Canis lupus familiaris: one gene and its partners. The protein of the gene in region 3 purifies or fractionates together with the protein of the main gene of each other region. This does not show direct contact. Links are inferred from orthologs where the notes say so. Each region holds a gene or a part of one and is shown on either strand. Other genes may lie near its edges.

Region 1 (2,972 bases), on a different chromosome or scaffold from region 3:
CCCTGAACTGGAGCCCGCCCGGGCCGCGGGAGCCCGCGTCCGCCCGCGTCCGCCCGCGTCCGCCCGGCTCGCGGCAGCCGCCGTCACCCGACAGTCAAATCCCAAGACGTCAGCCCACAATGCACCGGGCGGGCCGGGAAAGACGCGCGGCGGAGGAGACGGGGGCAGAGCCGGGCGCGAGCCGCGCGGGAGGGGGAGGGGGGAGGGGGAGGGGGAGGGGGAGGGGGAGGAGGAGAAAGAAGGGCCCAACTGTAGGAGGGCAGCGGAGCATTACCTCATCCCGTGAGCCTCCGCGGGGCCGGAGAAGAATCTTCTAGGGTGGGGTCTCCATGGCGACGGGCGGGCCCGCCCCCTGGAGAGCGACGCGAGCCAATGGGAAGGCCTTGGGGTGACATCATGGGCTATTTTTAGGGGTTGACTGGTAGCAGATAAGTGTTGAGCTCCGGCTGGATAAGGGCTCAGAGTTGCACTGAGTGTGGCCGAGGCGGCGAGGTGGGAGTGGAGGAGCGCGGACTCGGGGAGGCGGGCGGCCGCGGGCAGGCGAGACGGCCGGAGAGTCCGGGCTGCAAAATCCGCTTTCCGTTTTGCATTTTCCTCGCCGACTGGCCGGAGCTAGCGCCTGTGGCTCCCGGGCTGGTGTTTCGGGGAGCGCCCGGAGAACCCCCTTCTCCAGCCGCCCCCGGGAGGAGAGCCCCGCCGCCCGGGAGCCGTGACAGCGCGGAGAGCGGCGACAGGTCCGTCCGCGCAAGTGCAGAGAGTGGCTGCGGCGGCTCAGAACTTTCCTGGCCGGGAGCACAGGGGACGAGTGGCCCGGGTCCCGGAGCGAACTTTTGCAAAGCTCTGCCGCGCCTGAGGCTGCGGCGGCTGCGGCGGCGGCGGCGGCGGCGGCGGCGGCGGCCGGGACGAGAGAGGCGGCGGCGGAGCGAGGAGACCGCGGAGGGACGTGCGCTCGGCGCCCCTCGCCCCGGTGGCTGAACTTGGGCGAGCGCGAGCCGCGGCTGCCCGGCGCCCCCTCCCCCTGTCGCCGCGGGGGCGGGCCCGCGGGCCCCCGGGAGCCGCCGCGCCCCGAGAGCGCCCCGAGCGCGCCCCGTGGGTGACCGCGACTTTTCCCCGAGGCGGGCAGCGCGCGCGCCAGCTGACCCAGGAGGAGCGCGGCGGCGGCCGGAGCCGGTGAGCGGGGCGCGGGGGGAGGACCGCCGGCGGGAGCGCGCGCCCCTCCAGAAACTTTCCTCTAGCCCAGGGCCGCCCCCCCCACCCGGGAGGCGCGGGGGTCCCCCGCTCGCCAGCGCGCTGTTGCGGCCCCGAAACTTCTGCGCGCAGCCCAAAGTAACCCCGCGCGAAGTGACGGACTGTTCTATGACTGCAAAGATGGAAACGACCTTCTACGACGATGCCCTCAACGCCTCGTTCCTGCAGTCCGAGAGCGGCGCCTACGGCTACAGTAACCCCAAGATCCTGAAGCAGAGCATGACCCTGAACCTGGCCGACCCGGTGGGCAGCCTGAAGCCGCACCTCCGGGCCAAGAACTCGGACCTGCTCACCTCGCCCGACGTGGGGCTGCTCAAGCTGGCCTCGCCCGAGCTGGAGCGCCTGATCATCCAGTCCAGCAACGGGCACATCACCACCACGCCGACCCCCACGCAGTTCCTGTGCCCCAAGAACGTGACGGACGAGCAGGAGGGCTTCGCCGAGGGCTTCGTGCGCGCCCTGGCCGAGCTGCACAGCCAGAACACGCTGCCCAGCGTCACGTCGGCGGCGCAGCCGGTCAGCGGCGCGGGCATGGTGGCCCCGGCGGTGGCCTCCGCGGCGGGCGGCGGCGGCGGCGGCGGCGGCTTCAGCGCGGGCCTGCACAGCGAGCCGCCGGTCTACGCCAACCTCAGCAACTTCAACCCGGGCGCGCTGAGCAGCGGCGGCGGGGCGCCCTCCTACGGCGCGGCCGGCCTGGCCTTTCCCGCGCAGCCCCAGCAGCAGCAGCAGCCGCAGCAGCCGCAGCAGCCCCCGCAAGCGCCGCACCACCTGCCCCAGCAGCTCCCCGTGCAGCACCCGCGCCTGCAGGCCCTGAAGGAGGAGCCGCAGACGGTGCCCGAGATGCCCGGGGAGACGCCGCCCCTGTCCCCCATCGACATGGAGTCGCAAGAGAGGATCAAGGCCGAGAGGAAGCGCATGAGGAACCGCATAGCTGCCTCCAAGTGCCGGAAAAGGAAGCTGGAGAGGATCGCCCGGCTGGAGGAAAAAGTGAAAACCTTGAAAGCGCAGAACTCGGAGCTGGCGTCCACGGCCAACATGCTCAGGGAACAGGTGGCACAGCTTAAACAGAAAGTCATGAATCACGTTAACAGTGGGTGCCAGCTCATGCTAACGCAGCAGTTGCAAACGTTTTGAGGACAGACTGTCGGGGGCTTGAGGGGCAACCGAGAGAGAGGAGAGAGAGAGAGAGAGAGAGGAGAAAAAAAAAAACCACACACACACACAGAGAGCGAGAGCGAGAGAACTTGAGAACTTGACAAGTTGCAAGAGAGAGCGAGAGAGACAAGAAGTGTCCAAGGACTAAAGCCAAGGGTATCCAAGTTGGACTGGGCGGCGTCCTGACGGCGCCCCCAGTGTGCACGAGTGGGAAGGACTTGGCGCGCCCTCCCCTGGCACGGGGCCAGGGAGCGGCTGCCCGCGGGCTGCCCCGCTTTGCGGACGGGCTGTCCCCGCGCGAACAGAACGTTAGACTTTTCTTTAACATTGACCAAGAACTGCATGGACCTAACATTCGATCTCATTCAGTATTAAAGGGGTGGGGGGGGGGGAGGGAGGGGGAAGGGTTCCAAACTGCAATAGCGACTGTAGATTGCTTCTGTAGTACTCCTTAAGAACACAAAGGGGAGGAGGGGGGGTGTTGGGGGAGGGGAGGCGGGAGGGAGGTTTGTGAGAGCGAGGCTGAGCCTGCAGATGAACTCTTTTCTGGCCTGCCTTCCTTAACTGTG
Region 2 (4,254 bases), on a different chromosome or scaffold from region 3:
ATGTTCCCTGTTAGTCAGCCAGACTCAATCTCTATTGCTCAGAACCAAGAAACCTGATAAAGAATCCCCTGCTTAAAACTCTGCATTGGCTTCCCATACATTCTAGAATGTGTCTCAAATCCTTTGCTTAGCTCAAAGCTTTATCTGGAAAAGTACCCACTCTGTCCTTCCCTCTGGTCACACTGAGCCACCCTGCTCCTACCAGCCTTCCTTAATCTCATATTGCTTGCCACTAAAGAATTTAGGGGCACAATCACTCTTCTGTATGTACCCCACCCCTCGGGATTGTTCTTTATAATAAAAAAAATCATTACACTCTACTACAAGAGTTGATTCATTCAACTGTAAACTCTGCACTCATTCTTTGAGTCCCCAGGCACCTGGAATAATACCTGGCCCAAAGTAGGTGTTGATGCCTGTTTGAAGATCAGGACGTGGACAAGTACTGCCACCTACTGGGAGAAACTTCATTCAACTCTAATAATGATTTGGACAATGGCTAGCATACAAGGATGAAATCTGACCATTCCCTAAGTTATCATCATTGTTGTCCGACTCCCCAGGATAGGGTTCTCCCAGGCGGCTCCCAGTGATCCCTGTCCAGTGCTATTCATGCCCTTGGGTTGATCCTCCCACACTGAAGGGTTGGCTCTAATGACAGAAGTGGTGGTGCCTGCCTTCCGAGGCTAGAGCACAAAAGACATCGCAGCTCCTGCTTTGGTCGTTCCGGGACCACGTGTTAGGAGGGAGGCCAGATGCCGTGTCGCGGGGACACTCCATTGGCCCTACGGAGGGGTCCACGCCGTGGAAACCAGGCCTCCCGCCCACAGTCGGGGGAGCTCTCCTGCAAGCAGGTTCTCCAGCCTGAGTCAAGGCTTCAGGTAACTGCAGCCCCGGCCTACATCTTGCCTGGAATCTCTAGAGACCAAGACAGACCCACCCACCCAGCCGTGCCCATACAGAACCTCTGGGACAATTAATATTCGTAGTTTTAGGCTGCGAAGCTTTGGGGTGATTGCTGAGCGACACACTACTCCTCTCGTCTCCGACACAGATCAGGGGACCACAAGCTGTTTCATATTTTGCTGTTCCACGAGGAGACGGGCAGAGCCTGGGCTGCACCGCAGGCTTCTCAGAGCCGAGGCCTGCGGCTGGAGCTGAGCGCCGCGGAGCGCAGGCGGCACGAGCCCGGCACGCCCGGGCCCGCAGAGCGGCGAGTCACGCACCCCGCAGCCGCGCCCTCGACGGAACGTCCTCCGCGGCCGCCTGGGAGGAGCCGGCACAGCCCTGGCCACGAAGGGGCCGCGCCGCCCCCGCCCCCGCCCCGCCCAGGCCCCGGCCCCGCCCCCGGCCCCGCCCCCGCCCCGCGTGGCGGCCGCGGCACCTGCGCACTGCGAGCCTCTCACGCCCAGGCGGCGCCGTTGCGCGCCGAGTCATCGATCGCAGAACGCCGAGCCGCGGGGCTGGGCGGGGGCCGCCCGCCACCCGCCCGCCCGCGGGGTGGCTCCAGGGGGCGCCCTCACGCGAGGGGCAGGCGCTCCTGTTCCAGAGACCGGCCGGCAGGGGCCGTGGCGGGGCCTTCTCTCCGCTCCTCCTCGGCACCCTCGCGGCTCCGGTAGTCGCCCCCGCCCCCCCCGGGCCCCCGGGCCTCCGGCCGCCGCCATGAAGCTGCGGGTGCGGCTCCAGAAGCGGACCTGGCCGCTGGATCTGCCCGACGCCGAGCCGACGCTGGGCCAGCTGCGCGCGCACCTGAGCCAGGCCCTGCTGCCCTCCTGGGGCTTCGGGTAGGCGGCCGGGCGGGGCGCGGGGGCGCGGGGGGGCGCGGGGGGCTCCCCGCCTGCTGCGGGCGGTCACGTGAGGCGGGGCGGCGGGGCGGCGGGGGTAGGGCCCCGGGACTGTGACGCGCGGAGGCCCGGGCGGCGCGGGCGCTAGCGCTGCGGCTCGGCGGCCCCCGGCTTGCGGCCGACATGGCCCGGCGTCCCGGGGACCCGGTCCCCCTGCAGGGTGAGCCGTCGCCTTCGTTTCTGCCGCAGGGGAAGCCGGGGACCGGCCGGGGCGGGCGCGGGGGTTCGGCTCCGGGGGGACTTTCCCGGGCTCGGTGGGGTCGCAGGTCACCGTCCCCGGCGGTCGCAGGGTTCCGGGGAACACGTCGGGAAAGTTCCAGAAGTTAGGGACCGGCCCGCGCTCCGAGGCCGCCGTGAGCGGGCTGGAGGCTGCGCCGGGCGGTGCGCGGCCCGCGGCGGGACCCGGTTCAGGGTGTGGGTGCTGCGGTGCTTCTGGTTCCCCGGCCGAGCTGTTGCTTTTTTGCTAAAACTAAGGTAAACGTGGGTCTTGGGGTGACCCTGGAGGGCTTGCGGTTTGGGGGCAGTGACGTTGAGAAATCAAGGACCGGAATCCGCTATTAATTTAATGGGGCTGCAAATGAGACTTCGTTTCCACCGAGTGTTTTCCGGGGATGACAGTCTGGGGGCCGAGGGACAAAGCTAGGGGTGGGCCTCTTCGCGAACTGAGCGAGCGAATTGGGCGTTTGAGCGTGCTGAGGAAACAAGGGTAGTCGCTGGGGCTTTCTAGGTGAATTCTTCAAAAGGAAACCTTTCTGTTAATTAAGCGGATTTTTTTTTTTTAAGATTTTATTTATTCATGAGACACAGGCAGAGGGAGAAGCAGGGTCCCTGCGGGGAGCCGGGTGCGGTACTGATCCGGGCACCCCGAGATCACCAGCTGGGCCCCCCCCCCCCAGGTGCCCCTAAGTGGGTCCTTTTTCTGAGACTTTTATAGATTTTGACTTTATTTTTAGGGAATAGAATAAAATGAGGCCATGTTATGAACTTGTCACCTTTCATTTTTCATTTTCATTTACTATATTAAAAGTAAGCCTGTTTTTTCTCCAAATCAAAAATGAGATTTGAACTGTTGAGTGTTGTATTAAGTGACACGCCTATTGTTATTTCCTGGTGGTAAGCCTAAGCATTTTGTATGTTAATGTCATCACCCCACCAGAAATCTCAAAAGGACCTTCTTTTTAAAATATTTTTTCATATGTATGTATGTGTATTTCATTAATATTTTTTTTTTTTTAATTAAGGGCACTCCTGAAAGGACTGTTTAAGAGCCCAAGTTAGTTTCTCCTTTGGGTTTGTTTTTATAGTTGAGGCTGGTTAACTGGAAGGAATGTAAGCTTCAGCTTCTGAAAGTAAATTCATTCTTCTGAAAATATGTTCACTTTATAATAAATGGGTAGTTCTAAAATACAACGGTAGGACACTATTATTTTTTAAGTGTCTTCACTGAGCAAGTGGATCTGGGTCTGACATGAATATTTTTTAAAGGCCTGGTGTTTCTAAGATAGCATTTTCTGATGAATTTGAATTTTTTCAGTTTTTAACCCCTCCACTGGAAAGTTATATGTTACTTTAGAAGTAGCTCTTCCCTTTTCCTAAATGGGGAGGGAAGTCCAGCATTTTTATTAATTATATGGTTCTTTAGCTTTTCTACAGGTGGTTGTTTGGATGAACATTGTATTGACATTGTTTGAAAAAAAAAAAAAAACCTTTTGCTGTGACAGATGATCCATAAACACATAGTTCATATGAGACATTTTTCTCTTGGGATAGTGTTTTTTTGGGGGGCATCTTCAGTATTTATTCATGGGTTTGAAAACAGAAGTATAGCTATTTATTTCCTAATAAGCAGGAGTAGTTTCTAAAATTTTAGTAATTTCTCTACCAAAGACACTTTAATTGGTAAGAAAAAGTGTTTTTACATGTGAAAGAAAATGAATTATTTTGCGTACTTTTGAAAATGCAGCATTGCAAGAATAAACAGAACATGATTTTCAAATCCTTGGTTAACCTCTCAAAAAGTTAATGAAGTTAGCATTGCTGAGTCTAAGTGTCTTATAAAATGTGCAGCGATTTGTTAATTACTCCGCACCACTATGTGATGAAATGATGGATATTCTCTCAAATCAGAGAGCCTATGATGTGGAAGGGAGGAGAGTTTGTTTCAGGCTAATTTGAGCTCCTGTTTAGCAGTGGACTTTGGGATTTGTGCTGTTGTCATTATAAAAGACATCATACATAACGTTATCAGTAACAAAGGCGACCTTGTACTTAACAGTGGGAGGGATGCATTTATACTCGGTCCTCTATATTCTCATGTTTTTGTGATTGTTAGTATTTATCTTGGACATGGGTCTAGTGTTTTGGAAGAGACATAGCTGACTGTCCTGTAAATACATTGACTAGGGAGCCC
Region 3 (4,172 bases):
CATCACTTCCAGGTTGCCTCCTGATCTGGCATGCATCACCATTTTCAGTAGAGCCAATGCTGAGATTTTGCAGTACTTAAAATAATGGTGACTACAAAACAAAAGTACAGCACAATTAACTTATATAAAACACAATTTCAAAGATAGTTTTTGTAAAGAAAACAAGTATTGAAGGAACTTACAGTGATGGGAAAGGGGAAAGAGTGTAGAAATGTGGGAAAGAAAAGGGAAGTAGAGTTCTTGCAGGGGGCTGGAAATGAAAAACATGTTGGGTCCTGCAAAGTATTTCTTTAGGGGAAAAGTATGAAATAGTTTTTTAAAATATGCTGTTTTAAATATGCTGTTCAAGTAGAAAGGAATTACATAGAATTCAATAGACTTTTTCTCCATTAATTTTGGAATCACCAAATCTCTGATTCTGAGTCTAGTTGGATGGTTGTGCCTAAAGATTCTCAGGCCTAACTTTCTGGCCTGACATCCAAATGTGGGCTCTGACATCCATCTGATTAAGTTTGAGTCTTTGCCCTGCCATGCTAGCTGTTGCCTAGAGACAATCACCGCATGCCCACGCCTTAGTTTCCTCATCTGTAAATAGGAATAGGTCACAGATTTGTTGTTAGGAAGAAATAAAGTGAAATAATTTACATAAATGCTTATCTTACTACCTCACACATACCAAAACTTAATATTAAGTGCTAGCTGTTATTAGCCTTAACCCATCTTTTATAGTACTCTCAAAAAAGTGTGTTGTTTCTTTCTGTGTTATCAGCCTCAAAATGAAAAAAGTAGCTCTAATATCTTTAGTTCTGTTTTGATCACTATTTAAAAGTTTGTCATATGTATATGTGACTAAACTACTCTTGAATAAAATTACATTTTCCGTTTCACTGATGCAGCTCAAGATCGCTGGGATGAACATAATCAGAGCCGCAATCAGACAATAAGGCACACGGATAGTTTTCAAATATTTGGTAGTCTATAGTATAGCAACCTTAAATGCATAGCCTGTTATAGAGTTAAGCAAACTGTCTTTAATAATATGGTCAATGTGTTTAAGAAGCCCCCCTCCCCTACTTTTTTTTCCTTCTTCTTTCCTGAGAAGCCTTTTTAAGATGTCTGCCCACAGATTTCAATCACAACTGAAAAATATGGAGACCTGGTCTTGGGAGTCAAGACATGAATTAATCTTGGGTCTTTATTCACTGGGGAAAAGAAAAAAAAAGTTATTGTGCTCTTATTACATACATTGTAGACCCTTTTTAATGCATTATCTCATCTAATCTTTATGAAATCACCAATGGGTGGGTCTAATTTTCTTTTTACAGGTAAAAAATGAAGATACATAAATTTTCTAGGGCCAGTCAACGAACTAGGGACACTTGTGAGGTTTGAATTTTAGTCTATTATTCACTTAAGAGTTCACTGCCTCAGTCTGATCATGAAGTAAGTTACTCGTATTTGCTTATTTTCTTATTTCCAAAAAAGGAATGAAAATACAGTACTGGGTTGTCATGTAGACTAAATAATATATTATAGAAATTCCTAAGCTCAGTGCTCAGCCCATATTAAATACTCGATAAACATGGAAGAATGTTTTGTTGTTGATCACTGCTGTCCTTTCTATCTCTCCATTTGAAGACTGCTCTTTTTACTCTCCCTTAACACTAAGGGTAAATGCTGTGGGTAGAGTCCTTCACTTGTCATCATTCCCAGAGACACAGGGCATTTGCTAAGGGGCAAACAGCTTTAAACTCTATTGATAAAATTTCTAGTTCATGTTAACTGGTGGACTAACGTTTTGGGAGCCTGGGTGGAGCCTCCTTGTATCTGAAATAGTTACCAGCAATCAACAATCGATTTATAAATGTCTAAAAGATGGCTTATAGTTAGAGACGCCAGGGCTGACTTGGCTTTTGAAGATGGGTGCAGTCTCCAGTCTCAGATAAGCTAGAGGTCTCAACAAGGTGTATATCAACACAAGGCTTAAGGCAGAGTGTGTGGCATATATATGACAATATAGATATTGAGAAATGAGAAATTATAATCGTTTGTCCTTTACCCTTACATCCCCTGGAGGCAAACGGGTTAAAGAGACAAGAAGGGGAATCGAAGCAAGACCCAGGAGAAGGGCTTTGACTCTACTTGCGGAGAAAAAGGTGGACCCAAATTTCCCGGGTGCATATTCTTCTCCCTGTCCATGAAAACACTAGCTTCCCACCCTCTGCAACTCCCACTCCCCTGGGTGTCCTAAACTCCCGCCACCCCTCCCATCCCCTGCGTCTCGCCAGGGACCTCCTCACTCCTTAGTCCAGGGCTTCGCCGCCAGTATTTCTTGCTGCTGTTTCTTGTCGTATTTGTAGATTTCATCGATACTCTGGGCTTCCTGCATGTTGTTGGCCAATTCCCAGGTTTTCTGAGCCATACCACTCCCGGACGCCGCCATCGCCGTGGAATCCGAGAAGCTGTCGCCTCCACGACCAAGACGCAACTTTACTCGGCTAGGTTCCTGGGTGTGGGCTTCGGACCCTTCCCACCACAGGTGCAAACTCGTACTAATCTCTCGAGGCAGCCATGACACCCAGAACCGGAGGTGAAGTCAGTACAGACCATTCGGGGATGGCGGGAGCGCTTCCGGGACGCCACGATACAAACAGCGGTTACATAATAGAGACAGAGGAATCCTCCTGTGGCTGAAACGAGAACATATTATCTTAGAAAATTATATGCGCGCATTAGGACAAACACAATGACGGAGCGTGAGAATGGTATAGCCTTCCGCACCGGAAGAAGGGCACGGCAACGTTATGCCAGAAACGAACGGGTCCTCTTTGTTCGCACTGCGCAGGCGCGGCCTCGGCCATATTAAAAGTGGGTTAGCTCTTTAGGCTGTGTTGGGGGAAAAAAAAAGACCTGTTTTCGTGTGGGTGTGTGGGTACCTTAAACAAAATGTTTGTTGAAAGCCTACAAAAATAAGGATGTCTGTGAAAAACTTGAGACATAAGCAGTTTTGGATGCTGGTTGAGACGAAGATACACCTGGCATCCCAGTTTACTTCCAGATGAGTCACTGCACATGCGTAAAGTTCAAAGGACCCTTGGTTGGGCTCTAAGGGTCTCTTAAGAGAGCAGTTCTCCGGCATTTCAAGAAAGCTGTGGAGACTCGTGGAAGGCTACGACAGGGTCTTTTGTCGTGTTTGTAAAAATTAACATCTGTATGAGCTCTTAGTGTTTTGAAAAGATCAGTACCCAGTTCTTAACAATTCGTTTAAGGTGTGAGACCACTTCCTATCCCCGAGGCCAAATTAATCTCAGCAACTTTTTTTTTCCCCCAACAGTTAATGCAGTGTTTAATTATTTCACTTATTTGCTTGCTTGCTTCATCTTTAATCATCCTGAAACTTTGCATATGTGGTCAGCCTTGCTTGAAATACTCTCCCCTGGCGGTTGTGTTGTCTTGTTTTTTGCCTGGGAGCTCAAATTCATCTTCAAAAACAGCTCAGGGATCTCTACCATGAAATGTTGACTTTTTCCGCTCTCCAGTAATGATTCCTTTTAGATGTCTCTAAACGTCTGTAGGTGCTTCTAGAACTGTTACGTTGCATTGTAATAATGTATTTATTTGGATTTTTTTCTTTTCACTAAAAGCTTAAGAGTTCAGGACGCGGCTCTGGGTTGTGTCCTCCACTCCTAGTACGGTACGTGCCAAATAGTTAAAAACATTAGAATTATTGAATCCACATCCCTGCCTGCAGTTTCGACATTAACTTCCATTTGAAGAAAATTTGTTTTTAAAACCCTCTTACAAAGTAACTTAGGACAAAGGATTCTTAGTTCCCCTCTGCTGGAAAGCTAGAGATCTCTTTTCTCGTGTGGCACATGGCCGTTCAGTATTGGGGGGAACCGAACATGTTGAAATTAGTAATAAAAAGGGGAATCCTGGGTGGCTCAGTGATTTAGCGCCTGCCTTCGGCCTGGGGCGTAATCCTGGAGTCCCGGGATCGAGTCCCACGTCGGGCTCCCTGCATGGAGCCTGCTTCTCCCTCTGCCTGTGTCTCTGCCTCTCTCTCTGTGTCTGTCATGAATAAATAAATAAAATCTTTAAAAAAAAAAATAAAAACCCCCAGGACAAAACATTGATGACCAGACTCCAGGAAGAGGAGAAATACGCAGGGG
Region 4 (3,500 bases), on a different chromosome or scaffold from region 3:
AATGGTTCAGAGGACACAGTTCTGCACCCCAGTGTTTATTTTAGTGGAAAGTACTGCACAATTCTGGGAGTATAAACACTGGCTGCCAGGGAATGGGATCATGCAGAGGCCCGCTGGCCAAGTTTTCCTTTGTCTCCCTGAAGGCACCATTAGACATAATGCTTCAGGCATCTTTGTCACCCTGCAGCTGGAGCAGGTCAGAAGGGTGTTTGTCGGGGGAAGGGGGGCATGAGTTGCAGTATAGTTATGACACTACCGATCCCTTTTGGCTACGTCGGGGTCTTTGGGGACCAGAGGTGAATGCAGGTTGTGAGCTGGACAGCTTGTGACTGTGGCCCAGAATAGGTCTAAGGCAGCTTCCAGAGAATGAAAGTTCTAGACTCTGTTTCTGTGCCTTTTTTTGGTTTGGGGGACGCAAGGAGCCCTCTAATTAGGTCAGTGCTAGAAGATCCACTCACAGGCTCAGTTGGGTATGGTTTTATTAGCCATGTCAATAGTGAGCACAAACTGAAAACCATTACCTTATCACTCCATCACTGCACATCAAACATATAAGAGTACCTTCGCTCCAAGAGAAGCCTGGCTCCAGGCTAGATACAGCAGGGGCCCTTGGGGCACCTGGGGCACCAACTCTGGAGAAGTTTCTGGAGCTGAGTCCAGAGCAGTAACGTGCCAGTGTCCCAGTCCCATAGTGTCCCATGCCACAGTGTCCCTGCTCCAACCCTAAGACTTGGATACCTTTGGCCCTTTTAATACACAGCCGCCTCTTCTTACAGGATTTGTCCTCAGGCGGCTCCAAGCTCTTGCTTGGCCCACACCTTCATTAGTGTCTCTCATGGCCGCATCCTGGCTTCCTCCTGGCTCCAAATGAGAATGTGATAACCTAGGAGGAGTGAGACCAGTCTGACTCTCACCTTCTGTTATCAGACTCTGAGAACTTGGGGCTGGCCCAGGGAACCTAGGGCTTGGTAAGGAAACCAGGACACTGGACAGCAGCCAGGCACTGTCACAACCAAGACAAAACAAGAGGCATGGAGGGCCTAGGCCAAAGTGTCCACTGTCTCCTGGAAATCTTCTTTCCTGCCTCCTACCCTGGGGTGACTGGCAGGGCTAAGCTGAGGAGAGCCTGCACTCAACATTGGGGAGTAGGGTAGGGCTTGGCCAGTCTGAGATACAACCTGCTTCACTCACCCATCACAGAGGCCAGTGTGTCCCCCATAGGATTGAACTCATTGAGCTGCAGAGACAAGGGTGTAAGCATGAGGAGGTGAGATATTGGGAGAAGAGGACATGATGGCTAATTTCTGGTCATTTTTGGCCAGCTAAGGTAGGTTGAATCCCTGCTTCCCGCCCATCATTTGAGGGCCCAGACCTCACCGAAATGATACCAGAAGATTCTGGGTCATAGAGCTGATACATCATCTTCCCTGAGCTTCCGTCAAACACATCGATCGTCCTTAATTCGTGAGGGGTACAGCTTTTGAAATTGGGATCTGGGTATCGGCCCACGACAATGAGGTTGTACCGAGGATGCCAGGTTGCCTAGGAGATGGAGAGTTGTCATGAGAGCAAATGCAGAGTACTGTCAAGAGGGACCTCCGAAGTATTCTTTGCCACTCACAATTGTTGATACAAGTGCCAGCAATTTAATAATGGAAGTAAGACCCACATGAAACTACAAGAACAGCTTTCAAGTGCATGTGCATCTACCATTCCACATTTTTAATCCCAAATTGGCCTCTCTGGACCTTGGGACACCTTCAGGCCTTCTCTCTTGTATTTCCTGAGATCATACCAATCGATAGACGTTTGAACATCAGCTTGACCATTAACCAAAGAGGTAGGCCTCCAACCAAGCAAAAAGTCTCTGGTAACCAAAACCAAAAGTAGGACATAAATTCTGAAGTAATCCCACTATTGTCCCTCCTCGATCAATGTGAATGAAAGAGTTGAGCAGAAAATGGCTAGTGGCCAAGAAAAAGAAGGAAACCTATGTTCCCCAGATGATCCCACTCAAAACAAATCTGGCAGTGATTCGGAATGACAGAATCAGACGGGGGCTTTCCTAAGAAATCGTAAGGAAGTTTTGAAGGAGGAAAGACATGGTTAGCGGGAAGGAGAAAGTTGGTACAAGTCCCGCCTGGGAAGCTGGAGATTGTCCTCGCCAGACATGAAGTGGGAAATGACACATGGATCAGTGGGAACCAGCCAGTGAAGAACCCTTGTTAAGAGCTTGGATTTGACTTGAGGTATGTGAGAGCCGCTCTAAGATTAAACGATCACCGTTGACATAGTGCTTCCCAGGCACTAGCCATGTGTTTTAAGTATACCGATTCTTCCAATAACCCTGTCAGCCAGGTACTATTACTGCATTTTTAGAGATGAGGAAACCGAGATCCAAAACCCAAGCAGCTTACCGAAGGACTCCAACCAGGGGTGTTGGCCTGCCTTGACAGAGAAGTACAGGCGTGACCCCTGGAGTTCTGAAGAGGGACTGTAGTGTTCGAAAAGAACAGAAACCAGGAGAGCAGAAGAGTGGGTCTGGGGCATGGGCGGGAAGGGATCCGAAGACTTAAAGACCATCAGTGTTGGGGGCCGAGGTCAGCCAGTGGGCCAGCACCACATGCAGGTAACTGGAAGGGAGGGCAGAACAGGGGGACAAGTAGGTTGAGCAGAAAAAAAAAAAAAAAAACGGAAAGAGCTTCCGGGAGACGCAACCCAGCAAAGCGGGATCTCAGAATGGGGACAGAAATTGCAGAAAGGCCAGGGGAGAAGAGACTGTTTCGTGTGGGTGCAGGATGAGATCTGGCCTTTCCCTACCTCGGGCAGACCCGGTCCATCCCCACAATCACAGCTCCCTGCCTCCATCACTTACCTTGATGGGTGTCAGGTGCTGGAAGTGGCGGTGAGGGTGTGGGATCAGGCTTGGGGGATAGTCCCACTGGGAGGCTGAGTAAACCCGGAGCTCACTCTTCTGGTCAGTGGTCAAGAGCTGGGCTCCATCAGGACTGAAACAGGCTGGCAAGTGAAAAGCCCCAGAGCTGAAGAGAACACAGGCCTTTCCCCACAGGGGTGCCCTCTCTCCCACTCCTGTCTGGACAGGGGTGGAAGGGAAGAGGTGAATCTGGGCTGTGAACAAAAACATTCTAGAAACTTGGGGCGCCAGGGTGGCTCAGTTGGTTAAGTAGCTGACTCTTGATATTCAGCTCAGGTCATGATCTCAGCATCCTGGGACTGAGCCCCACATTGGGGCTCCTTGCTCAGCAGGGAATCTGCTTGTCTCTTTCCCCCTGCCCCTCCTCCCACTCGCACTCTCCAAATAAAATAAATCTTAGAAAAACAACAACCATTCTAAAAGCCTAGCAGCTGTTTGAGGCAGCTAGAATCAGGAATTTTCCAAGACACCAACTTGGCTGATGATCTCAGGGTAAAGGTTTGACCTAGCAGCTTCTAAATATTGAGGGGAGAAACCCCAGAAGTGGTAGGATAGGCAGGTTCTA
Region 5 (4,184 bases), on a different chromosome or scaffold from region 3:
TATGGTATTTCTCATAATTTCCAGTTTAAGCAGAAGACATGCCACAAAATTGTCTCAAGTAATAGATAAGTTAGGAAAAGACTTTCAGAGCCCCACTCACCAAGAGGGAAAAAAAAAAGAAATAAAAAAACTACTCCTTTATTGTGATGAGCCAAATCATAGTGCCTAATAGGAGACCAAGCTTGGATTCAGTTCAGGCAGGACGCGGCAGCAAGCAATGCACATTCAAGGAGACAACAATTTGGTTTTAGAGAATCAGAATTAGTCCATTCTTTGGCTGGACCCTCAATCAACGGCTGATCTTCACCAGAGGTAGAAACCAGCTCCCTCTCCTAGCCAAATCCTGACAAACACTAAACAAGCCTTGCCTGAGGACCTCTTATGATCCAGTCCCTGAGTATACAAAGACAACCCTTGCCCTCAAACAGTTCCCAATTGGCCTAGTGGGTGAGGCAGACAATTAGAGGACAGAGTGATAAAAGCTGCTGTAGGAACACAGAGAGACACCTGCACAGCCTAGGAAGGTGGGGTGGAGTAGAGAAAAGGTGGAGGTGGGGAGTTACAAAAAGCTTCCAGAGAAAATAATAGCTTCCAGAGAAAGTAATTCAATTTAAATCTGTGAGGGTAAGTGGGAATTAGCCAGGCAAGAAGAGTGGGAGGGGGCAAGGGGCCCAAAGAAGGAAAACAGGGCGCAGGTTTAAATCCTGAAGGTGAGAAAGACTAAGACATACTTACTATCTTCAAGGAAACTCGTTCTCAGGGAATAGTTTGTCCTAACCAAAACCCCTAGAGTATTGAGGGAAATCAAGGCAGCATCTCTGTCTAAAATCTGGTACAGTAATTCCTAGGCCTCTTAGCACCAGGCCTGACTTACCCCTACTTGCTGTTGGAGTGGTAGCTACTGATAATTCTTACTTTGAGCCACTAGTTCAGGAACTGGGGGGGGGGAGGTGGAGGGGTGGGTATGAGGAGAGATAAGCATGGGAAATAAGGTAATGAGAAAGAAGTGAGATAATACTTGTGCACATGTGACCACAATACTGGACAATGCTACAGGAACCAGATAAACTAAAGCAGAGTTTGGGAAAGGGCAGTCAGTTGAATGAACCCAGCCAGCTGCCTATTTTTATAAATAAAGTTTTATTGGGGTGGGGGAGTGCCTGGGTGGTGCAGTTGTTCAGCGTCTGACTCTTGGTTTCAGTTCGGGTTTGATCTCAGGGTAGTGATATAAGGCCTCATGTTGGGCTCCATGCTCAGTGCAGTCTGCTTGAGTTTCCCTCTCCCTTTGCCCCTCCCCGCTGCACGTGTGCACTCTCTCACTGAAATAAATAAATCTTTTAAAAATAAGAAAGTTTTATTGGAATACTGCCATACTCATTCATCTACATATTTTTTGTGGCTGCTTCTGTGCTAAAACAACAGAGTTCAATAGTTGGGACAGGCCATATGGCCAGCAAGAGCCTAAAATATTTCCTATGTAATCGTTTACAGAAAAAATAAATTTCTGATCCTTTGCCCTTGAATATACTAAGTACTAATAATAGATATATGGAGACTGTTTAGTGGTGGCCTAAGGGAGGAAGTGATTCAAAACATGCTACAGATTTTCTGTTCCTAGTCTGTATCAACTTTGATATGGACCTCAAAACATGACAAGAGAATATTCTTTAAAATTTTTTTTTAATTTTTATTTATTTATGATAGTCACAGAGACAGAGAGAGAGAGAGAGAGAGGCAGAGACATAGGCAGAGGGAGAAGCAGGCTCTATGCACCGGGAGCCCGATGTGGGATTTGATCCCGGGTCTCCAGGATCACGCCCTGGGCCAAAGGCAGGCGCCAAACCGCTGCGCCACCCAGGGATCCCCGAGAATATTCTTTAATAGAATGACTAAATGGGAGTATATTTGCACAAAGAAATACTACACGACAGTGAAAAATTAATTACAGCTATATGCATAAATCACAAAATTAATGTTACACGAAAAAGGCAATAATTACAGAATATATGCAATTGACAATTTTTTTTTGTAAAGCTCAAAATTAAGGAAAACAATGGATAGAAAATATAGAAGGGAAAAAAACAAAACAAAATCCAGGGTAGGGGATTGCTCTGGGGGAAGCAAAGGGGAGAACTTAGGTAGATTCAAAAGCATTGTTAAATGTTCTAGTTCTTAGTTTGGTGATGGATTCATGGGTGTTTGTTTTCTTACTATGCTCTATAAATTATATGTCACACATATTCTTCTGTATGTATTAAAATTGTATAATAGTTTTTAATTTTTATTGTTATTATTTTTTTCTTTAAAGATTTTATTTATTTATTCATGAGAGACACAGAGACAGAGACACAGGCAGAGGGAGAAGCAGGCTCCATGCAGGGAATCTGACGTGGACTCGATCGGGGTCTCCAGGATCATGCCCTGGGCTGAAGGCTGCGCTAAACCGCTGAGCCACCCAGACTGCCCCTATTGTTACTATTTTTTTAAGTAGGCTCCAAAACAGTGTGGAGCCTAATGTGGGGCTTGAACTCATAACTGTGAGATCAAGACCTGAGATGAGATCAAGAGTTAGATACCTCACCTCATTTGACTTTTACTAGTTTATTTACTCACCATTATCTTCTGAGATGGCTGCATCATCTCTTCCATTCCCTGATTCAGAGGGCTGTGACATGGTCCATCTTTGGAGGACTACATTAGAAAATAGAGAATTCAGGTTAACAGCAGTTCTCTCCCATATCTCTAGTTTTCTGGATCCATTGACTCTGGTCTCAATCAATTGCATCCTATTTCATATCTTCAAGAAAATACTCACAATTTTGGCTGGCTCATCACACCCTTCCCGGTTATCCCTTATGGTTTCGGGTCTAATATTTAGTTTTCTTCTTTCATTTAATGCTAACTTGGGAGAAAAAGCACAATTGTTCAGACTAACATCTAAAATTGGAAATCTGCCATGCCCTTTTAAATTACTATGGCTCGTGCCCCCCCACCCCACTCCCACACCCACCCGGGGGGGATTCCAGGCCAACAAACAGACCCTGGTCAAGGGGTCCTCCAGCTATTTCAGAGGGTCTCAAAGTCCAATCTCACTATGATCCAAACCAGGTCTCTATCTTCTATATTGGCCTCTTCATCAGACTACAGAGCCATGGTTGTTGGGATCCCTCTTCCACGCCGTGGTCACCACCTGGCTGAGAATTTTCTCTGCAGGTAACTATGGCTCTGACATGCTTTTGCCTAACTTACCCATATCACCAGTGAATAAAAGCTATAACTTCTATAGCAACATATCTCTTTTAAACGTCTGAGAATAACGAAAAGAAGTATACCACAAAATAATTTAAAGTGGCCAGAGATGAGCCTTGGCTTAAAGTCTCTTGGCTCCAAGTCAGGCACACAGCCAGTAAACTCCTAAAGGATACCCTCCTCTTTCCATAATCTCTAAGGAGCTTTTAACGCACTGCCCCAAGACCAACAGGATTTGTTGTGGTTACCAGCGTTCTGTTAACATCAGAAAACCAACGGCTAGGAATGCGGACAACAACTGACCACCGACGACCGTTAGGCATGCTAGCAATTCGCGGGCTTTTTCCTAAGAAAGTGCTGCCCACTGAAGCTTGAGTTCTGGTGCTTTTAACGGTTTTCAAGGATGATTGATTGACAGCAGATCTGACCAATCCTTTCATGGGAAACCCCACTCGCCTAACAGGGGCCTGATTGGAACCAAAAGCAAAAACATAAAACTCGGTCATCTCTCCACCTCTCTTTTCTGTATTGCCTCATTCTCTAAGACTCCTTCACATGATAGAGACATGGTTACCAACTGCTTTGGGGTCACATCCTTACAGTTTAATGTCCAAAGAAAGGAAAAAGCTACTTCTTTACCTCTGATTTGTATTATTCCAAGGAAGGTCTTGTATCTCTGGCCTAGGACACATGCCTACCCTTTGGAGCTGCCATTGTGTCCAGCAGAGTTTGATATTATGATTAGCCCATCCTGGGTTAGGTGCAGAGCTGGGTCTGTGGAGGGTGCAATGGGGCAAGTTACTATCATTACCTGTCCCACCAGTACTATATTGAAAGGACAGTGAAAGAGAAACAGCTCTCCAAATGAAAAGGAGTGCTACTACTAGAAGCAGGGAAGAAAGAATGCTGGGCAAATCAAAACAGCAGATGTCCAC
Region 6 (3,270 bases), on a different chromosome or scaffold from region 3:
ACCTGCCCCTGCATGTGCACGAGGAAGAAGGAATTGTGGTAGCAGGTACCTGGGGAAGGGAAGCTCTTTCTGTCCCATCAGATAAAATGGCAGAGGGAGAAACTCCTCCACATGAGAACTGAGTACATGGGACTGTGGACTGTTGGAGAGACTAGGTGGGACATTGAAGAGGATGTTATTGAGCAGCAGTTAAACACCCACCAGTTAGAACAGCCCTTTGTCCTCACACGAGTGGGAGAACATAACCTCAGTAACAGGCAAGCTACGTGCAACAAAACGCAGCAGCTTGGGAGGCCTGGGTGTTCACCTGGTCTGCATTCAGTGTGGCCCTTATCCCGTCCTGTTCAACAGCGTGGGCTTCCCTGTTCTTTGTGCTCACTTTCCAGCAGAGCATGCTGAGAAAAGAAGTTAAAGTCATTGTAACAGAACTGGTCCTGATCCCCTTGACACCGTCCCTGAGGATCCGTATTACAGAATAGAGCAGAAGTGTTGAGCCACTAAATTCCCTGGGAAGATGGGATGCCTGGGTGGCTCAGGGGTTGGACGTCCAACTTTGGCTCAGGTCGTGCTCCAGGGGTCCTGGGATCGAGTCCCACATCGGGCTCCCTGCATGGGGCCCGCTTCTCCCTCTGCCTGTGTGTGTCTCTGCCTCTTTCTCTGTGTGTCTCATAAATGAATAAATCGAAAATTCCCTTGAAGAGTTACAGGTTGATCACAGATTTTGCTGTTTCTGGGAGGACAGAATGCTCCGATATCATGAAAGTTCGGTGGTTTGGTTTGACACATGAAATAAGCCCTTGACATTAAGGAATATATTCTTAGTCTTGACATGTCCTCAGATGTGCAGATATGCCTACAGAATGTACTTATTCTCCATGAATCTTTTTTTGTGCCAAAGAAGCATCACTTTGTTAGAACTTTCTCAGGCTTGTTTACTACTCTCCACCCCCAGCAGCAGTTAGCTTCCTGTTTAAGCCTAGTTTCCATCCCAGAAGAGCTGCTGTGCTCCGAATAACAGGAAAGAGAGGAGCCCCGCGGAGAGGCAGGCATGGGTGGTGGACTAGTGCAGTCCTCTGTGAGCCGCACAGCCTGAGCCATGCCGAGGGAGTGCCGGTGGCCGCATAGCCTCTCCAGTGGCAAAGTCCGTGAGACCCTAAGACCTTCCTCAGAAGGTCTCCAGTAGCGTGTCGGGGCTCCTGCAGACAATGGTTGTTTGGTGCCACGTTCCTCACAGCTGTGAGCCCTGAAGACTTAGCTGGTCTTAGGAACTGAGCCATTAAACCAGAAACAGCTCTGGTGAGAGTTGTCGCCTGGTTTGTCCCCAGGATATTTTGAAGTGAAGAGATCTTCCTGGTTACTCTTTTACAAAGAGGAAACCTGTTGCTCCCCCTTGAATAGACCTTGATGCAAGAGAAGTAGAGCACCCACCTCTTAGGATGCCTTGTGCACCAGCCAAGGTGTCACACAGCCAGCCAGTGCATCCTGCGACTTGGAATACCTGTGACTAGTTGTGATTCTAGAGCACCAGACCTGCAACTTTTGATTTTCAAGAAGTACATATTCTCAGAAATCATTTTCATTTGGGTTTGTGTTTTGGCTCCTGTGGAGTCCCGTCTAGTCTTAGGAATCATGAGAAGCTAGGTCCACGTGTATACAAGTGCTCCTGTGTGTTCGCTCACTAACCTTCCGTGTCTCTTCTCTCTCTCCCAGTGGGCCAGGACTGCTACACGAGAATCTGGAGCTTCCATGACGCCTGCCTGCTCAGAACCATACCCTCTCCACATCCTACCTCTAAGGCTGACATACCCAGTGTGGCCTTCTCTTCTCGGCTCGGGGGCTTCCGGGGAGCCCCAGGGCTGCTCATGGCTGTCCAGCAGGACCTTTACTGTTTCTCCTACACCTAATTCCACAGGGTACAGCCTGGAGGGATGTGGATTTGACTTAAGAAGTAAGGAGCAGCTATACTTCTGCCACAGTTGCTGTTTCCAGTGAGGGCATTTTAAGTAGACGTTCTGTGTACACAGATCCATCCATCCAGCTGTCAGGAAGTAGGTACTGTTTTATGTGGAGACACTTCAGTAAAGTTATTTCAGTTAAGTTGTGAGCTCAGAGAGCTCAAAAGTCCTTTTCATAAAAGGTACTTATTTCCTTGTTGAATTCCTTAGAATACTCTGTGTCCCCCCTCCCTTTTTTTTTTTTTTTTTCTTAAAAAATACTTTTTCTAAGGGCTAAAGATTGGCAGTAACTAAACTAAAACTGTTTCTTTTACCAAAAGCCCTTTCAAGAGGGCTAATGATGAGGTTGGGTGAGACTGTGGTGCAGTGAGTGCCTAGGTCCCAAAAAGATCTGCATGTGGACTGGAGAAAGCCAGCTGGGGAGACAGGGAGGGAGGTGGGGAAATCATTTCTCAGTCTCTAGAGGTAAAGATTGAAGGCTGGATTTTGCAGTCATTAAAAAGCCTTCTCAGACTCATTCAACATCCACAGACCTCACTTTCTCCTTTTATCACCATCCAGAGGCATTGGAAGGAAAAATGGATCTTTCTAGATGCTCGAGGTTTTAAACAGGTCCTAGCATACTTTGTGGAGGCACCTTCCAGAATGTTAAGTACAACAGCTCCTATTTCTGTAATGGTGATTTAGAATGTCAGATTACAGGGCCCCGTCTCAAAGAAAATTGGCCTTGACTTTCTGTAATCTAGAAGCACTTTGAGATGTTTATACAGCGTTCAAGAGCCTTTCTACCAAACAATAAACTAGAAAGAACTGTGTGTTGCATTGCTTCTGTTAACGATTCAGAAGATCATGATTGATGATTGTTCACTACAGCAGTGAAACCAGCTGTGTAACAGCTACTCAAATCTTGGGTGAGGGGTAATACAGACCAGCTGTAGTGGCTTTGCTAGAGAGCGTTAACCTTGGCCCCCAGACCCAGGCCCCCCTGCCTGCTCTGTGCACACCCTAAGAAGCTGACCTGGAAGGACAACAGCAGTGGACTCCCTGCCCACCCCTCTGCTGGGATGTGGCGGGCTGAGGCTGTGTTCCTCCACCCAAGGCTGCAGCTCCTGTTGGAACATCACACCCTCTAGGTTCCAGCACCTTCTTTCCATTTGTCCCTTCAGATCTACTAGTAACTGCACCTCACTTGCTAGCCCAGGAACTTTGCCAATTAAACTCCAATTACACCCTTGAGTGGTAGTAATTCTGTTTTCTGCCAGAACTCTAGTACAGAGGACCAAATCCAAAAAAAAGAGCAGACTGGCTATCCGAT
Region 7 (3,071 bases), on a different chromosome or scaffold from region 3:
CCCTTGTACCACCTGGCCTTCCAGCTGTAGGCCTGGCTGCCTTAAGAGGAAGAGAACTCTCGGTCATAGAGGACTTTTTTCCCTTGGGGGGAGGAGAGGAGCCGGGCCTGGAGCTGGCACTGTCACCCTGTTGCTACGGCGAGCCTGGGCAGGCCTGCTACCTCCTGCAGCTGCTGGGGATGTTTGCTTTCTGAGGCCTGTGTGGTGATGGAGCCCTGGTGTCCCTAATGTGATCGTTACAAGTCTGCAGCCTCACTCCTGGCTGGGCCTGGCAGCTCCTCCTCGGTGAGCATTTTCAGTCAGAAAATAAAAGGGTGAATCCTGTAATGGGAAGGCCCTAGCCAGTGTGGAGTGGTACTCTTTTTTAACTGGGACAGCAGTGCTGTGTTAATTGTCCCCACCAGATGCTGCCGTCCCCTAGTGCTTCTCACCTCTTAATGGCTGCAGTGGGAGCCTTTATCTGAGGCTGGGGAAGGGTGAGGGGCCAAAATGTCACCTTGAAGGCCAAGAGAAATGTTTTACTTTATAATGTATCTTTAGTTGCCTCAGCTTGCTTCCCCAGCATTTACACAATTCATAAGGGCCCATGTGCCTGGGACTCGGCTTTGTGAGGGCTCGGCCTGGGCAGTACAGTCAGCTTTCAGCAGTGTAGCTTTCTTCATCAGATGGACCCCTCACAAAATTGTGAGACATTTTGGAAAGGACTGTCTCTGGTCATGCAGAATTGCTTTTAGCAGAAGACATGGTCTCCCAAGGTCCCAGGTTTGGCACAGACAGCTGCCACCAGAGTCCAGTCCCGTGCCTTGGTGGCTGGGCCGTGGGTGACCTGGTCCCAGAACGGCCAAAGGTGGCAGGGGTCAGCTCAGCTTTCTCCCTAGCCCACCAAAAGCACTTCTGTATGTGACATAATCTAGCATGAGGAGAGGCTGGGAGTGAAGGGCCTTGCAGGGTTGTCCCCCACAAGCCTACCATGCTTCCTTCTGGCTTTAGTTGGGCCCCATGCAAGACAGACCAGCCTCCTACAGTTCTCAGGAGGACAGAGACTCAAAGCTACCCTGCCTGATGCTCCCTGCAGACGAGGTGTACACTTGTCCCAAATCTACACCCTGTCCCTTTTCCCAATGTGGTTGAGACTTGGGGGTTCTGGCAGACAGAAGGGGGGGCAGTCCCCCTGGAAGACAGAGTTTTTTTCCCACAGGAATGACCGCAGCTGCTGGGCTCCACCTGTGTTCTTGGTACACAGTTAGGATCAAGTCTCCTCTCCCAACCTGTACCTTCCGGAAGATGGCCAGAAGGTTCTCCCCTAAGGCTGCCACAGGTACCAAAATCCACCAGCAGGCTGAGCTGCCCAGACCCTGCACCCTTCCATCCGGGAGTGGTCAGATGTCCTCTTCAACGGTACCACTATGCTCACTGAGGAGGTACCATTTCAGCCTGTCAGGCAGAGGTAGGGCTTTGACCTTCGCATCCACAGGCCAGGGCTGAAGATAGAGCCGGATGTAAACCCGACATAGGTGCTTGAGGGATGGAGGATAGCTCTCCAGCTGCCTCAAGGAGAAGTGAAGGGCCTGGATCTTCTCTGCTAGACTGCCCACAGGATGGATATCGAAGTTTTCAGGCAGCTGGAGTTTCTGGGAATTCGTCACCATGAGATCTAGGACGGTCTCAGCTTTGCGCAGGAGGTCCACGTGGCTCTCATCTTCAGCACAGCCTGGGTGGGAACAGAGCCTCTCAAAGATGATGTGGAAGCCAGACCAGCAGGATGCACCATGGAGGGAACAGTTATAGGCAGCTCCAGACTCCAGCAGGAAGCGCAGGAGAGGGAAATGCAGTTTGAAGCTCTTGAGGCAGATGTGTGTGAGGGACTCGTGGGCTGGGCACTCGCTGGGGTCAGCCCCATGGGCCAGGAGCAGCTGTGTGACTTGGAAGCAGAAGCGGCTGATCATCTGGGCCTCTTCTTTGTCCCCTCCCACCGTCTCACCAAGCAGGAAGATGATGCAGGTGAACACAGTGTCCCCGTCTTTGGTGGTAGCCTTCACATCTGCCCCTACAAGAGCCAGTCAGGAAAAGAGAAAACAGGAGAAGGTCTTAAATCCCTGCAAAGTAATGCTTCATGTTTAATGGTGGGAAGAAAGAGAAGGGCCTGGGAACAGCCTGTGGACCAGCCTCACCTCCTTCCAGTAAGAGCCGGATATTCTCAGTATTATAGATCTGCACCCCGTCACTGCTGGCCAAAGCATGGAGCAGAGCAGTCTTTCCTATGGAAGGAAGAGAATGAGGAGTGTGGACCAGGAAACCAAGGTCAGGACCACCCCTCAGGTGCAGGGGACACCACAGGATGAGAAAGTGGACTTTGTTTTGTCCTCAAGGATTTTAAGTAATCTTTACACCCAACATGGGGCTTGAACTCACAACTCTTGAGATCAAGAGTCACATACTCTACCAACTGAGCCAGCTGGGCACCCCCCAGAAAGCAAACTTTAAAAAGGACCAACTTCTCAGCCAAGGTGGAGGGTGATCGGTTTCTAGTCATTCCCTTTCCACCAACACAGAACCAAGAGCAGAGTGGCCAGAAGACGTGGGATATTTCTGGACACGCAGATGCTGCTACCTGAGACCCGGGCTTAGTCTCTGCCAAGAAGTGCTAACTCTGCCTCAGAATCTGACCACATGCATGCCCTACTTCCTCCTGCAGACAGACCTCAAGGGGCTGGCGTGGGGCCAATGGCTGCACCACTTCCTGAAAGCTTCTGCAGGTCAGCAAAATGCAGCAAAATCTAGCCTGCACACCTAGCCACTGTCCTGGGGTGCTCTGGCTTTCCCTCGCAAAGCACCCGGTGCCAGGTGCCCTGCTTTCCTGTGGGAGGCACCCACCATGCTTATCAGCCGCGTTGACGTCTGCTCCAAGATCCAGGAGGCGCTGCAGGCAGGGCAGGCGCTCGGGCTCCTCACTGGCCAGGTCCAAGGGGCTGCTCTCATGGATCTGAGCCAAGAAAGCATAGCTGAATGGGCCTGGGGGCCTGTGAGGCTGCCCATAGCCCCCCACTCACCACATCCCTGCTTCAGAGCAG

Evidence for each region.
Region 1: the proteins of COPS5 (region 3) and JUN purify together in Homo sapiens (affinity purification with western blotting; 3 studies listed by BioGRID and IntAct, with this or other methods). This does not show direct contact. The link is inferred for Canis lupus familiaris from reciprocal best matches to the Homo sapiens genes COPS5 and JUN.
Region 2: the proteins of COPS5 (region 3) and FBXO7 purify together in Homo sapiens (affinity purification with mass spectrometry; 3 studies listed by BioGRID and IntAct, counting the BioPlex papers as one, with this or other methods). This does not show direct contact. The link is inferred for Canis lupus familiaris from reciprocal best matches to the Homo sapiens genes COPS5 and FBXO7.
Region 4: the proteins of COPS5 (region 3) and DDB2 purify together in Homo sapiens (affinity purification with mass spectrometry; 10 studies listed by BioGRID and IntAct, counting the BioPlex papers as one, with this or other methods). This does not show direct contact. The link is inferred for Canis lupus familiaris from reciprocal best matches to the Homo sapiens genes COPS5 and DDB2.
Region 5: the proteins of COPS5 (region 3) and CUL4B purify together in Homo sapiens (affinity purification with mass spectrometry; 12 studies listed by BioGRID and IntAct, counting the BioPlex papers as one, with this or other methods). This does not show direct contact. The link is inferred for Canis lupus familiaris from reciprocal best matches to the Homo sapiens genes COPS5 and CUL4B.
Region 6: the proteins of COPS5 (region 3) and DCAF4 purify together in Homo sapiens (affinity purification with mass spectrometry; 4 studies listed by BioGRID and IntAct, counting the BioPlex papers as one, with this or other methods). This does not show direct contact. The link is inferred for Canis lupus familiaris from reciprocal best matches to the Homo sapiens genes COPS5 and DCAF4.
Region 7: the proteins of COPS5 (region 3) and ASB6 purify together in Homo sapiens (affinity purification with mass spectrometry; 3 studies listed by BioGRID and IntAct, with this or other methods). This does not show direct contact. The link is inferred for Canis lupus familiaris from reciprocal best matches to the Homo sapiens genes COPS5 and ASB6.

What each region holds. Positions count from the first base shown.
Region 1 is NC_049226.1:51,325,840-51,328,811, forward strand, and holds JUN (transcription factor AP-1), read left to right. Parts: upstream 1-1,140; 5' UTR 1,141-1,356; coding exon 1,357-2,382; 3' UTR 2,383-2,472; downstream 2,473-2,972. UniProt on the Homo sapiens protein: Transcription factor that recognizes and binds to the AP-1 consensus motif 5'-TGA[GC]TCA-3'.
Region 2 is NC_049231.1:32,004,198-32,008,451, reverse strand, and holds the start of FBXO7 (F-box only protein 7), read left to right. Parts: upstream 1-1,454; 5' UTR 1,455-1,662; coding exon 1,663-1,784; intron 1,785-1,876; exon of another isoform or gene 1,877-1,967; coding exon of another isoform or gene 1,968-2,004; intron 2,005-4,254. UniProt on the Homo sapiens protein: Substrate recognition component of a SCF (SKP1-CUL1-F-box protein) E3 ubiquitin-protein ligase complex which mediates the ubiquitination and subsequent proteasomal degradation of target proteins and plays a role in several biological processes such as cell cycle, cell proliferation, or maintenance of chromosome stability.
Region 3 is NC_049250.1:17,045,640-17,049,811, forward strand, and holds the start of COPS5 (COP9 signalosome complex subunit 5), read right to left. Parts: upstream 2,801-4,172; 5' UTR 2,782-2,800; intron 2,776-2,781; exon of another isoform or gene 2,691-2,775; 5' UTR 2,444-2,690; coding exon 2,301-2,443; exon of another isoform or gene 2,293-2,300; intron 92-2,292; coding exon 1-91. UniProt on the Homo sapiens protein: Probable protease subunit of the COP9 signalosome complex (CSN), a complex involved in various cellular and developmental processes.
Region 4 is NC_049239.1:42,779,111-42,782,610, forward strand, and holds the end of DDB2 (DNA damage-binding protein 2), read right to left. Parts: intron 3,019-3,500; coding exon 2,876-3,018; intron 2,634-2,875; coding exon of another isoform or gene 2,583-2,633; exon of another isoform or gene 2,294-2,582; intron 1,543-2,293; coding exon 1,378-1,542; intron 1,238-1,377; coding exon 1,192-1,237; intron 884-1,191; coding exon 834-883; 3' UTR 463-833; downstream 1-462.
Region 5 is NC_049260.1:93,267,725-93,271,908, forward strand, and holds the start of CUL4B (cullin-4B), read right to left. Parts: upstream 2,801-4,184; 5' UTR 2,786-2,800; coding exon 2,614-2,785; intron 1-2,613.
Region 6 is NC_049229.1:46,643,819-46,647,088, forward strand, and holds the end of DCAF4 (DDB1- and CUL4-associated factor 4), read left to right. Parts: coding exon 1-45; intron 46-1,710; coding exon 1,711-1,904; 3' UTR 1,905-2,770; downstream 2,771-3,270. UniProt on the Homo sapiens protein: May function as a substrate receptor for CUL4-DDB1 E3 ubiquitin-protein ligase complex.
Region 7 is NC_049230.1:54,248,449-54,251,519, reverse strand, and holds the end of ASB6 (ankyrin repeat and SOCS box protein 6), read right to left. Parts: intron 2,984-3,071; coding exon 2,875-2,983; intron 2,259-2,874; coding exon 2,172-2,258; intron 2,048-2,171; coding exon 1,380-2,047; 3' UTR 501-1,379; downstream 1-500. UniProt on the Homo sapiens protein: Probable substrate-recognition component of a SCF-like ECS (Elongin-Cullin-SOCS-box protein) E3 ubiquitin-protein ligase complex which mediates the ubiquitination and subsequent proteasomal degradation of target proteins.